3 linked regions of the Arabidopsis thaliana genome follow. The protein of the gene in region 2 interacts with the protein of the main gene of each other region in a pairwise test. Each region holds a gene or a part of one and is shown on either strand. Other genes may lie near its edges. The genes, in order: AT5G15240, KCO1 and AT4G10080.

The links.
Region 1: the proteins of KCO1 (region 2) and AT5G15240 interact in a protein complementation assay, tested with the Arabidopsis thaliana proteins (one large-scale study listed by BioGRID).
Region 3: the proteins of KCO1 (region 2) and AT4G10080 interact in a protein complementation assay, tested with the Arabidopsis thaliana proteins (one large-scale study listed by BioGRID).

The regions. Positions count from the first base shown.
Region 1 is NC_003076.8:4,945,656-4,951,065, forward strand, and holds AT5G15240 (Transmembrane amino acid transporter family protein), read left to right. Parts: upstream 1-1,921; 5' UTR 1,922-2,106; coding exon 2,107-2,248; intron 2,249-2,919; exon of another isoform or gene 2,920-3,340; coding exon 3,341-3,951; intron 3,952-4,037; coding exon 4,038-4,556; 3' UTR 4,557-4,755; downstream 4,756-5,410. Other genes in the region: GASA4 (GAST1 protein homolog 4), read left to right, coding at 189-370; FTSH6 (FTSH protease 6), read right to left, coding at 4,756-5,103, 5,177-5,410.
Region 2 is NC_003076.8:22,529,496-22,533,629, forward strand, and holds KCO1 (Outward rectifying potassium channel protein), read left to right. Parts: upstream 1-1,862; 5' UTR 1,863-1,941; exon of another isoform or gene 1,942-2,191; 5' UTR 2,192-2,222; coding exon 2,223-3,148; intron 3,149-3,232; coding exon 3,233-3,398; 3' UTR 3,399-3,627; downstream 3,628-4,134. Other genes in the region: AT5G55620 (uncharacterized protein), read left to right, coding at 878-1,183; AT5G55640 (Na-translocating NADH-quinone reductase subunit A), read right to left, coding at 3,749-4,039, 4,122-4,134. UniProt on the Arabidopsis thaliana protein: Voltage-independent, large conductance and potassium-selective tonoplast ion channel. Regulated by cytoplasmic calcium and pH. Does not mediate slow-vacuolar (SV) ionic currents, but essential to establish VK currents.
Region 3 is NC_003075.7:6,299,507-6,304,507, reverse strand, and holds AT4G10080 (uncharacterized protein), read left to right. Parts: upstream 1-1,763; 5' UTR 1,764-1,947; coding exon 1,948-2,799; intron 2,800-3,928; coding exon 3,929-4,054; 3' UTR 4,055-4,489; downstream 4,490-5,001. Other genes in the region: AT4G10070 (KH domain-containing protein), read left to right, coding at 4,749-4,914.

The sequences.
Region 1 (5,410 bases), about 18 Mb from region 2:
AATATATTAGATATTGACGAAATTGCCCCTTAATATGGTCATACAGTCAAAGCAACCCACTATCTTGAGACCCACAAAACAGTAAAAAAAAAAGCTAATGAATTTCCACTAGATTCTGTTGTTTTTATTAGTAATAAAAAATTTTTGAGTGTTAACATTTTGATATTGTTTGTATTTGAAACAACCAGAATGCCCATCGGAATGTGATAGGAGGTGTAAAAAGACACAGTACCACAAGGCTTGCATTACGTTCTGCAACAAATGCTGCAGGAAGTGTCTCTGTGTGCCTCCGGGTTACTATGGGAACAAACAAGTTTGCTCCTGCTACAACAACTGGAAAACTCAAGAGGGTGGACCAAAATGCCCTTGAAAAAATCTCCCTTCGTTCCCTTTTTATAATAAAAATTTTCAACTATAACTAAATTTCCTTTGATCAATGTTTTATCTACTTTATTCCTAATGTTGTAATGTTATGTCACTCCTTTTCGGATTTTGTTCTAAATCCTAAAAAAAATGAGAGTGGCCCTATGAATGATATTTTTCATGAATACTTGTGTTTCTAAAGATATTTTCCCATTCATCCACCAAAAAAAAAGATATTTTCCATTTCGAAAATAGTAATACTATAAAGGGTAAGGCAAACCAAATAATACAATTTAAAAAATTCCTGCGAAAGAAGTATGCATATGTAGAAAAGAGTGACATTGGGTCTCTCGGCCCAGTACTAAAAAGCCCATTATTGATTTTTCCAAGCTTTTTACAAAATCACGTGTTCTAACGCGATTGCTTTTTGCCGCAATCTTCTTTTATACAAGACTTGGGCTTTGGGCAGTTGGAAATAAATAACGACAACGATATTTTACAATCGGTGCAATGATATGAACCACAAACTTATAAACGTTTTACCCGTTCATTACCCTACGTATCAATAAATACTCTTAATAATGCCTTATATATTGACATTAATCGACAAGAAATATGAGGTTTGGAGTACAACTATAGTTATTAGCATTAACAACAAAGCTCAATTTAGCTCTCTTTGTTAGACATCTCACATGCATTTTGAATGGTGATCTTGAAGAAGATACTTTTTTTTTTTATCAACATGTGCATGCTATTTTTTCACAAGCACAACATGGGGAAATGGCCGGCAATGAGTATTCTTCTTTTCTAAAGAACTCATTTTGTAACCTATAAAAGTTTTTGGTTTCGATTTCTGAATGAAAACATATTGGATAACTGTAAAAAATTTGCAGTATGGTTTTAATAGTAACGAAAATATATAGATATATATGTCGATATTTTCATTATTGTTAGAACTACTCGGCACCTTGTAGAACATAACTGTAAACTAGCGTCAAGATATTGATTTACGTCAGATCAAGGCTATTCATACTTATCTACTCTTTAGGTCTGGGGATTCACTTGTCAACTATTTTTAACAAACGACAACAAAAAAATATGTGACGATTTTTCAAGTGCTCCAGTCTCGTCCAACAGATTATTGACATGATATACTACTTTGGACCATGTATTTTTATGAAAATTTGATCCCTCTTCAGTCTTCACCGAAAGAGGATTTGGTACTTGCATTCTCTCTATCACCTAAGTTAAACGCCCTAACATTAAAGTGGAAAACTTCGTGGAGTTTTATTTTCTCTCTTCCTACCAATTTTCTTATACAACTAACATTAAATTCTAGAACCACACAAATCGCAAATTATGGTAGATTTGTGTGTAAGTGGTTATAATTTTTTTCTATATAAAGAGTTGCACTTAAATTTCAATTAGTTTCTAAAAACCCCATCCACGAATATTTAATTGGTCAATAAACATTAAATAGAATTCCACTGCCACGCTAATATCGTGTAGATATCATATGTGCATGGATACTGCATAAAAATCAGCTCTAATAATTGATGTAATTTAAAAACATTGACCCTAGTAAATGTATTAACACTATATATATTGCCTTTTGAGGGTTTCTTTATTGTTTACTTCCAAGTTCCAACTTCTCTCTATCTATTTCCTTCGTCTCTCGATCTCTCCGTCTCTCTCTCTTTGTCTCTTCGATATCCAAAGAGCAGAGTCAAAGACTAAACAAGTATGAGCGAGGACAAAGATTACATGTCGGAGCCATTTATCGTTAAGAAGATTGATGATGAAGAATCATTGCTTGATGATTATAATCCACAGGGCAATACTTCTTTCTCCAAGACTTGTTTCCATGGCATTAACGCCTTATCAGGTTTAATTTCCTCTTCTTCTTCTTTTTTTTTTTTTCTATTTTCATTTTCGTGATTGATTTTTTCTTTTTGATTTATTCACCACTTCTTCTTATCTCCAAACTCCATAACTCACGGGGAAAGATCCAACTCTTAGCATGTCCACATATATGGATAGGATATATCTTAATTTTCAAAATAATCTAGAAAAAACTATAATTAGCTTTATTGTACTTAATTTCTATAGATGCATGTTTTTAACTCAAGCTTTTGACTTTATCTTGTATCATCTAGATTGGTGTGTATTTCAATCCTACATTTTGTTTCTTTACCTCCTAGTCTTGCCTCAGTTTTTTTAGTTATTTAATTTTTCTGTTGATAATTTATCATAACCAAGTTAAAACCAGTTCTACTTAGACTGAATTGTGTTTTTCTTCGTCTAGATTCAGTTTCATAGTCTTTGATAAACAATAGTGCTAAATAACCAAATCATTTTTGTTCTGACTATTAAAGGTTAGGATGGTTCCGTTTAACTGAATTTAACACTATAGTATTAACAATTCGGCAAAGTTTTCAATGACTATTGCTATTATTTATTCGCTAAATGTGGTAATGGCCTAATAATGGGTTTATCAAACTGGCCGCTATCGTTGTACTTAATTGTTTATATACCAAACTAGATACTTAGTTTATACTAAAAAAACTAATTATATACTGGAAACACGTCTGACCAAACTAGACCAAACTAGACCATATACGAACAAAAAACAGTCCATATAATTAAATAGAAAGAAACCAGCAATTCCAATTATCTTTCAGATATAAATACAACGTGTCACTGAACAAAACCTTAACACATTAACAACACGTCTTCCCTTTTCAATTTGTGTTCTTCTTCTTCTACAAGACTACAAACCACTTTGATAAAATCAAATCATATTATCTTATTGGTAACGAGACCACGAATATTTCTTTGCGTTTGTGTTTTCAATTAAAAACTGCGTTTGCGTTTTCATATATACAAAAAGAACGTTTGTAAATAGTTAACACAAAAAACGTTAATTAGCATATGCGTTAGGCTTGGACATTCTTCTGATCAACTCTTTTTTTTTTAGGTGTGGGTATATTATCGGTCCCTTATGCCTTAGCATCCGGAGGATGGCTAAGTTTGATCATACTTTTCACCGTAGCGATCACAACTTTCTACTGTGCCATTCTCATTAAGAGATGTATGGAAATGGATCCACTTCTTAGATCATACCCGGACATTGGCTACAAAGCCTTTGGAAACACAGGACGTGTTATCGTCTCCATCTTCATGAACCTCGAGCTTTACCTAGTTGCAACTAGTTTCTTGATCCTAGAAGGTGACAACCTTAACAAACTCTTCTCAAACGTTGGACTCAACTTCATGGGGCTTGAATTCCAAGGCAAGCAAATGTTCATCATCATGGTGGCTCTCATTATTCTTCCTTCGGTTTGGTTAGACAATATGAGGATTCTTTCTTATGTTTCCGCGAGTGGTGTCTTTGCTTCCGGGGTTATTCTTGCTTCTATCTTTTCGGTTGGAGCTTTTGAAGGCGTAGGGTTCAAGAACAATGACTCAGAGGTCTTTCGACTTAATGGAGTCGCTACTTCGGTGAGCTTATACGCGTTTTGTTATTGCGCTCATCCAGTTTTCCCAACTCTATACACTTCCATGAAGAACAAACGCCAATTCTCAAACGTAAGTTTTTTACATAACGGATCATTAGGTTATTCTTGACCAAAACTCACACTAATAATTTTGCATATTTTTTTTAACATTTTCAGGTTATGATTATATGTTTCACAATATGCACCTTCATATATGCATCAGTGGCGGTATTGGGTTACTTAATGTATGGATCAGATGTTGAATCACAGATCACTTTGAATCTTCCTACTGATAAGCTTAGTTCAAAAGTGGCGATATGGACTACATTGGTCAACCCAATAGCTAAGTTTGCTCTCATGGTTACACCTATTATTGACGCAATGAGAAGCCGGTTTTCTCGAGTTTTGCCTAATAAAAGAGCTTCTGGATTTTTGCTAAGTACAATACTAGTTACTAGCAATGTGATTGTGGCATTGCTTCTTCCGTTTTTTGGTGATCTTATGAGTCTTGTGGGAGCATTCTTGAGCGCATCCGCATCGGTTATATTGCCATGTTTATGTTACTTAAAGATCTCTGGGAAATATCAAAGACTCGGATTCGAAACATTGGTGCTCATCGGAATCACTCTAACCGGTATCGTGGTTGTGATAACCGGAACTTACCAAGCGGTCAAGGACATTTTTGGTCGATTTTGAAATCCCAATAGGTGAAGTTTAGCTTATAGAGTATTTGTTTAGGAAGATATTTGTACTACCAACAGTCCAATACCATAATTTGTTTTATTTGATTTTTTGTGACTTTCGTTAACGAAGTTTTTTTGAGTTATGTAATAATTTGGAATGAGAAAAATGTGAATACGTTAAATGAAGACATGAGTTGATCTAGGTGTCTGTATTAGACACTAATCAAGTCATTGATTCGAATTCTTACATCGCCATCGGTATTTAACGGTTGATCAGTATACTCAGACAGAATTGCTCGAAACTCGTCTCCCGTTAAGGTTTCTTTCTCCAACAAAACATCAACAAGCTTGTCTATAGCTTCTCTATTATTCCTCACGTGCTTTTTCGCAACCTCGTAAGCGTCACCGATTATTTTCTTCACGCAAGAATCAATATCCTCCGCAAGTTTCTCGGACATTGAGTTCCTCGCTAGCATCCGTAGAACCACATCGTTTTGCTTAACCGCTGGGTCGGTTAGTGCCCATGGACCGATTTCCGACATACCAAACATCGTCACCATCTGAACCATAAGAATAATTAGAAAATCCACCGTTTTTTTCCGGTTTATGAAAATTTTGTTTCAATTACTGTACCTGTCTTGCTATCTCAGTGACTTGCTGGAGATCACCGGCAGCGCCGGTGGTTATCTCCGGTTCTCCAAAAATTACATCTTCGGCGGCTCTGCCTCCGAGTCCTCCGACGATTCTAGCGAACAATTGCTGTTTAGACACCAATGTCGGATCTTCTCCCGGTAAGAACCACGTGAGACCACGTGCTTGACCTCTAGGAACCAACGTAACTTTCTGAACCGGATCATGACCCTCCGT
Region 2 (4,134 bases):
GTTGGTGAGATTCATACCTATCAAAATGAACAAAAGGATCACCAACCGAATAGTAAAACCAACTACTGTATTTATCATGGCCATTTTTCTTCTTCTTTCTTAATTTCTCTCTTTATTAAAAATTTGTTAATTATATCATAATCTTAACTGTTTTATATAAAAAGTGTTTTTTCCTAGAATATACAAGGTATTCCGCAAAAAATGCCAATAAAAATGGTTTTAAATTAAAAAGAAAGACCAAAACTCATATAACCTCAAAAACATAGTATGTTATTTTTAGTTAATATAAATATTAAATACTTTCACCTACTTTCTCCTTGCACACCACAACTGTTTTATACTTGTCCCCACCTAAGATAATGAGTGCATGAATGCATGAACCATCATTGGCCGATGCGTTTCCTGGTGCATGTAGCTCACAGCCGTCGTTCTCACATTTTGTTATTTATGATCATACTTTTTTTTCATTAAAAGGAAAAAGGTTTACTGGTTTGGTTTAGAACAAGAACTACTCGTTATAATCATACTTTTGTTTAATTAAAAAAACAAAAACAAATAATTTCTAGTACATCTTATATTACATACTATAGTTTGATGATAAAAATAAAATTCAAATGACGATTATCATGTCGAAAAGACAAATAATAATTGTCTTACTGACCTACCTGCCTGCCTCTATATATATACTAGTCTTTGGTCGCCTTTACTATAACCAAACATCGAGCTTGCCTTAGAGTTTGTCTCAAGCTTCTCCTTTTTTGGTATTTTGTCTTAAGCTTCCTTGCTTCTCTTTCTTCTTCTTCTCTACTCTTTCTCTCTATTTCAAACCTTCGTTTTCTTTCCTTTTTTGTATAAAATCTTAAAATCAACCAAGACAATGGAAATGAAATTGCTCTTTACATCGGCTTTCACCCAAATGTTCGGCTACTCGAACCATATGGATCAAGCCAGCAACTGCCAAAGCACCCGCAACAAAATTATAAAGATGATGAAGAAAGAAGAATTCCCAAGTGGATTCCAAGTCCCTCTTCACTACCCTAAATACTCCAAGTCTGATTACGAAGTTATGGATGATCTCCGCCTTGACTTGCTCCTCAAACAATATGGATTCTCCTTTGAAGGATCTCTTGAAGACAAGAGGGTTTTTGCAATTGAATCATTTCTCTGGCCTGATCAGCTTTAGATGGTCTATGTTGGTGTTGAATGATCTTATATCGCTCTCCACATGCATATCAATGAGCCTATACTCGAGTGGTTGAATGTTTTTAAAATTATGTCAAATTACCATGTATATCAATCACTTAGTAATGTTTTAGAACTATGTCAAATACTAGTGTGTGTTATATTTCTTTGTGTGTGGGGATGTTTTGAAGTATGCAATTCTTCACATATATATGTATCATATGAGTGCATTAATAACATCTTTGATGTCATGTATAACACTAAAAAAATGTGATTTATCGACTTATAAAAATCTTAACATATTGACATTAACATAAAACATATAGATTATTGTATGATATAGATTAAACATGACGTCATGCTGGATATTTTGGCTTATTGGCTTGTACATTACTTGTGATTATGAGTGTATAATATAAAACTAATTACTAGATTTGCACAAAAAAAAAACAGAAGGATAGAAAACTAACTAGAAAATTAAGACATTACATACATTCTTCTATATGAAAAAAAACATTTAAAAAACAAAACAAAACATTTTTATACTAAGATACTAATGAAAAATCCTATCAAGAAAATGAAGAAGATCATAAAAACAAAATTATCGGATTTGAAGAGAATAAATTTTGACCAAAAAAAAAGAAGATAATTAAAATAAAATAAAAACAAGAATTGGCCAACTGTGAGAACATCATCAATGAAGACCAATTGCGAGATCCGACAACACCGCTTCTTTTGATTTCGATCTTACTTTCCTGGGTATGTCTCAATTCTTCTTCCTCCTTCAGTTCGTGTTCTGTGTCTGATTGATTACTCTCACAAAACTCATCTTTTCATTGTCTAAAGGTCTAATCTTTAGCTATAACTCAAAATCTGTATCTAAGTTCTGACAAGTTTCTGTTACGAAATTCAAATTTTTTGATACATATGTTCATTTCTCAGAACAGGAGATGTCAATTTTGGCGATGGTTTTCGTAACATAAACATGAGATTTGATTGTTCTGTGCAGATCTCATAGTTAATCTGGTTTGAGTCTAGAAATGTCGAGTGATGCAGCTCGTACGCCATTGTTACCCACTGAGAAGATAGATACCATGGCTCAAGATTTCAACCTGAACTCAAGAACTTCTTCTTCAAGAAAACGAAGATTGCGTCGCTCTAGAAGTGCTCCTCGTGGTGATTGTATGTACAATGATGATGTCAAAATCGACGAACCACCTCCTCATCCGAGTAAAATCCCAATGTTCAGTGATCTAAACCCGAATCTCAGGCGAGTGATCATGTTCTTGGCTTTATATCTTACCATTGGTACGCTCTGTTTCTACCTCGTGAGAGACCAGATCTCCGGTCATAAAACCAGTGGTGTGGTAGATGCTCTCTATTTCTGTATAGTAACGATGACAACTGTTGGATACGGTGACCTTGTCCCTAATAGTTCCGCCTCAAGGCTACTTGCTTGTGCCTTCGTCTTCTCGGGAATGGTCCTCGTTGGTCACCTCTTAAGTCGAGCGGCGGATTATCTAGTGGAGAAACAAGAGGCTTTGCTCGTTAGGGCTTTCCATTTGCGTCAAAGCTTTGGTCCAACAGACATTCTCAAGGAGTTGCATACTAACAAGTTGAGATACAAATGCTATGCTACATGCCTTGTCCTTGTAGTCCTCTTCATTGTTGGCACGATTTTCCTTGTAATGGTTGAGAAAATGCCGGTTATCTCAGCTTTCTACTGCGTCTGCTCCACGGTTACAACATTGGGTTATGGAGATAAGAGCTTTAACTCGGAAGCCGGACGCCTTTTTGCTGTGTTTTGGATCTTGACGAGCAGCATATGTTTGGCTCAGTTTTTCCTTTATGTAGCTGAGCTAAATACAGAAAACAAACAGAGGGCGTTGGTGAAATGGGTTTTAACGCGAAGAATCACAAACAATGATCTCGAAGCAGCTGATCTCGATGAAGATGGAGTTGTTGGGTAAGAAAGACATCAGACATATTCTATCTTCTGTTTCCTTCTTCCTCTTCTTATTCTTTTTTTTTTGTCTATTGTGTGTTGCAGAGCTGCAGAGTTTATTGTGTATAAACTGAAAGAAATGGGTAAGATTGATGAGAAAGATATTTCTGGGATAATGGATGAGTTCGAGCAACTTGATTACGATGAATCAGGAACTCTCACGACTTCTGACATCGTTTTAGCTCAGACCACGTCTCAGATTCAAAGGTAAGCCTCATCATCATCATCATCTTGCGAAGACGAATCAGAATCTTTGTTTAGTTATACCTTCACACAACAAAAAGCCGAAGAGAGTGAACAGTTTTTCGAAATTTTGTTTGTTTTTTCCTGTTTGTGTTTGTAATGTAATGCCACACTCTAACTCTTTGATCGTTTCTTGATGCTGAGTGTATAATTTTACATACATCTATACATATGAAGCTCTCTAGTGTTATGCTCCATGACCAAGAATTCATGGATGATTCTCTCAAAGGACAGGGTATGAAGACTGTTTTATTGCTTTAAACTTTTTTGGTATTTTGATTGATACAAAACATTTTCAAAAGATAGCGGTTTCTCGCGTTATGGAAGTCGTCGTTTCTCGAACTGAGATTCATGGCAATGAGGGTCAAGCCAGTCTCTTGAAACACCTTTTCCCATATTAGTTCCTTTCTCTGCACCTGCACCCCCGCCTACAAGCTCTCTTAAGTTAGCCATTTTGTTTTCTCGACCAGAGCCGCTCATTTTCTGATCTGCTTCCTTGAGCATCTGCTTAAACCGCTGCTTGCGGCTCGATGTGTTACTACCACCATCTTGTAGCTGCGAAGGAGGAGCTCCATGTGGTCCTAAGTAGATGTTTTCTTCAGCTTTACTCTACAAAATCATACAATGAGAGATAAAGAGTTAACAACATTTTTTTGAAACTTGTCTTGTACGTAAGAAATCAATCACTAACCTTAGGAGAAGAA
Region 3 (5,001 bases), on a different chromosome or scaffold from region 2:
GAGAAGTATTTTAAATAAAAAACCTTACATTCACGTGTGATTTACAAGACTATCATGCTGACATGTCGTAACCAGAAAAACTTTCAACAAACTTAATAGTTATCCAATATTTACTAGACTAATTACATATAATGCCATTAGTGGTACTTATGCATATTTTTCCTCTACATTTAAGAGAGTAGCAATTAATAAAGAAAATTAATCAAAAAACCATATATATTTGAGCAAACAAGTAAAAAGTATATATCATAAATTATGATGAACAACATATAATATAAATGTTTATTATATGTTTCGTACTTTATTTTTTTAGGTTTTATAGAAAACATTTAGAATTTTAACATATATGACATTCTATTTTTTTGTTATAAATTGCAAAAAATCTAAATGTATATGTGAGCCCATATGATTCTTGAATATATTCGGAACATAGTTTTACATAAATTAGTTAGTAACATTTCATTTATTACACATTCACTATGAACAATATTTCAATATTAATCTATGTTAAAAATGTATCCGCTTACTGATTACTTTCAATATTATTTCTTTTCAAATTTTTACCTTATCAATTTATTAAAACTTTTACACAGTTTATTCAATTTAATTAGTCATTTACTCATTTTAGTTAAAATTTATTTACAACCCAAAACCTTATCGTAACAATATAAATTGATTAATAAAATAAGGGATATGCAATAAATCAATCCTAACTACATAGAATTATGAAGAATAATAAAAGATAATCAAAAATTTATTACGTTTAAAACATAATTATTCATACTCTTTTCAGTTTTTATATTGAATTGTTTCCAAAATAAAATCTTATAAAATACAAAAAATATTCGAATATATTTCTGAATTATAGGAATGATATTTCAGATTTTCTTTTGGGTCAATATTTTAATTTAAAATCTTATTCCAAATATAGAATATCCTAATTCCTAACTAATAAAATCTCCAAAATATATCAGTTACTAAATCATATTCAAATATTCACACTTATATATCAAGTGATAATATAAAATCTGTTTCCAAAAACTTGTTTATATATTTCATATAACTATTTCTCCCTGTACATAGTTCGGGTAAATCATCTAGTATTTGATTAATTCATTTGATCTGCACCATACGATTCGTCGTGAACCCTAATTAAATCATTGTGAAAAACCAAAAAAATGAAAGAACAAAAGGAATAAATACCATACTTCTCTCAATCTACCAACCTTTAATGTCAAAAGATCTAGTTGAGTACTGAGAATGTTACGTGACCAATTAGATACCTCTACATAACTACTTCCTCAAAGTGGATAAGAACCATTCTTTTCGAAACAAACTAAACTATTAGAGACTAAACCATTTAATTTTGGAGCGGACAATAATCCGTTATAAACTAAATTTATTTCTATATAAAATCGGTCTAAAGTTTTTACCGATTTTTTTTTTCTATATTTTTGGTCAGTACTATTATAAATACTAATCTATAAATAATAAATAAGAAAATATTTCAATCTACCGATGGATTTATTTGCAAAACCCACCTCAACCGTTTGAATCTTGATTATATATATTTTTCTTACATCGTCTACTCTATTTTAACCGATACATATTTGTTTAATTCATTTGATCCGCACCATACGATTTATTGCCGAATCCTAATTAAATCGTTTTAAAAAATAAAATAAAAATGAAAGAACAAAATGAATAAATACTATAGTTCTCTGAATCTACTAAACTTTAATGCCAAAAAATTTAGTTGAGGACTGAGATTGACACGCAACCAATTAGATACCTCCACGTAATTACTTTCTCAAAGTGGATAAGAACCATTCTTTTCCATCATCAACCGCTCTAATTTGTTGCGATCCTTTTCCAATATTTGGGGTTTTATCCATTAGGGTTTCTGATTATTGCAATCCCAATCTGAAATCTTCGAATTCGATCATCATGGATGATTGGGAGCTTCTTCATCATGGCTCTGATACAGAATCAACTGATTCAATCACATCGGAGACGAAATTAGAGAGTTCAAGCGTAATCGATGACGGTATGATTCTTTCTGATCATTTCTCTGCTACTGATCGGGTGATTGAATCGGGTTATTTTGATTCTTTTCGGGTTGATTACGGGTCGGAGTGTCTGAATCCGGGTGAGGTTAGTGTTGATTCTGGTTTGGATCAGTTCAGTGTTAGTCAATCGGGTGATGATTGTGTCAGAAATGAATTTGGGGTTTATGATTCAGAAACTGGAATTTTGGGTGATGGTGAGGTTAGGCTTAGTGATTTTGAAGCTGCCAATGAGAAATATGTTGAGAGCGAAGCTGCTACTGAATTAACTGGTGGAACCGTATCTCACTATGAAACAGAGAATCTCGAAGAATTCGTTGATGGAAGGCACGGTGAGAACGAATCGGGTGTTGAAGAACCTATTGAGGATTCGAGCAAGTTGTGTTCTGATTTAGGGGGAAATGAATTGGTTTCTCGAGATTCTGGGGTTGTGAATGGTGAAAAAGAAGTTGTTTCTGATAGTGTAGTTGCTTCTAGTGAAGTAATTGAGGGAAGTGGAGGAGATACTGTGGAAGTTGGAGGCGTGAGTTCTGGTGGTGAGGGTAAAAGTAGAGAGACTGTGTGGTGGAAGATGCCATTTGTGCTTCTTAAGTACTCTGTGTTTAGGATTGGTCCGGTTTGGTCTGTCTCTATGGCTGCTGCTGTGATGGGTTTGGTTCTCTTGGGACGTAGATTGTATAATATGAAGAAGAAAGCTCAAAGGTTCCATCTTAAAGTTACGATTGACGATAAGGTACACTATATTATCATTGACCCTTGTGTTTTCATTTTGCTTGAAGTTGGTAAGCTGGTCTAGATTGATACGTTTTAGGAGTTAGCTACACTCTATGTTGTGTTGATGCAATTGGTCTGACTTGAGCCGTAGAATTTCAAGTTTAGTTTAGTTCTTGTCTTGTCCTGCCTTATATTAAGGTGGGGGTATTGGACGCATGAATTTGATAGACTTCAATAGAATCTTAAATTCTAGTGTTATTCAATTAGACATTTCACAAATTCTTTTAAATTCTTGTGTTATTTAACTTGCTCATTTCTTAATTCTATTAGTTGCAAGTGTTATTCAGTTTTCGGTAGTTTTGTTTGACAACGTTACTTCACAAGAATTTAATAGAAAAATTGGTCTAAAATGTGAAGAACAAATTCTGAGTTTTTGAGTTGAGATTTGGATAGAATATAACACATCCATCCTTTTTTTCTCTTTCATCGATTTGCTTCAACCATACAAAAAAAATTCTCAAATCTGAGGGAGAGTGTTTAACACATTTATTAGAATCTGTGATTTCGATCCGGTTTATTCTTCGGATCATCATTCGTTCGATTATATATGAGGAGAGTGCGTTAATCTATAGAGAGCAGATGAGCGGAGGTTGTGATGACGTCGTTGTCGTTGTTGTCAAAATATGGATCTCTTCCATTTCATGTAAACGTCAACGTAGATTGTTTCTGGGTTAAGAGGTTTGTGAAGGAAAAAGTACAGTTTTTAGAGATTGGGCATGGTGGCTGTCCCGATAAAGAGCATTGTGGAACAAAAGATTTCAGTAATTTATCTTCTTAATTCTAGTAGAATTCTATTAAAAATACTGCAAAATATTTATTTGAATTGAGAAGAAAGATTCGAAATTCTTTTATTATACCTGAAAATCTAGAATTTATGTCCAATACCCCCCTCTAAGATATAGATTTTGTAGTTAATATGTTCTTGTAATCTGTCTGAATTAAGTACAAAAATACTGAGGCATCATCCGCTGAAAATGCTGTGATTTGATATTTTCCCTTAGCGCACATCTCTTTGCTTGGTTGGTATTTGTTTGGTGTTGGTTTACTTCTATCATTATCACGTCTTGGGTTGTTTATGATCTGTGCAGAAGGCGTCGCGGGTGATGAGTCAGGCTGCTCGACTCAATGAAGTGTTCACAGAGGTAAGAAGGGTCCCTGTGATCCGCCCTGCTCTACCATCGCCTGGCGCATGGCCGGTTTTGAGCCTTAGATGAGAAGCCGTTTTCTACAATACCTAGACACAGTGGAGAATCAATCATACAATGTCCATCACTTTATGTACCGTAAGAATACAAATACATGTGTTTATGTCGTACCTATGCATAAGTAGTAGTTTACCATCTTATGAAATCGCGTATGTGAGTCGTGTCCCAACCGTGGGATACACTGCAGAGTGATTACCGTAGCGATTTATGTATGTTCAGAGACTGAAAATCCCAGTTGGTAAGCCTTTTTCTATGTTTGATCTTAAGAATTTCATAAGCTATATGTGGGTTTTGTTATGGATTTCATTGGGGTTTCAAGCTTGTAAACTATTATAGAGAGGAGGACATAGTCCAAAGTCGATAAAACCACTACAATGGAAATAAAGACCCTACAAATTTCTACTATGTTGTCGATTCTACAAAATTTGAGTAGAAGCTATCGTCTCAACAACATCCCCTCGACGATCAACAAAGAAAACATCATTATTTTTGATAACTTTAAAAAAAAAACTGGTAGCCCATTTTTAGGCCCAATAAAAGCCCGAACATTATAAATAGACGTTAAAGCCTTAAACGTTACTTCTCCACCACCGTTCAGAGTCGCAACCCAAACTCTTTTCACTGCCGGAGATAATTCTCTTCTTCCCCAAACCCTACAGTACTCAGCTTTCCCTAAATTCCTCGCCGGACGATTCGTTTCCAGATGACGGAGGAAGATTTTGTTGTTATCTCTACGCCGCCTGTCGATCTCAAGCGAAAGCTCGACGAAGTTGAGCTTAATGGAAATATCGTGGATGATAGCAATCAAACATCTGATTCTTCTCAGGCTAAACGAGCGAAGCTAGAAGATGAAGCTCAAGATGGTTTAGGTGTTTCTGTCTCTTTGGCTTCTTATAAACTAAAGTTTTGATTTTTATGATGTTCTATGGTTATAGTTTTCAAAAAAAGAGATTTCT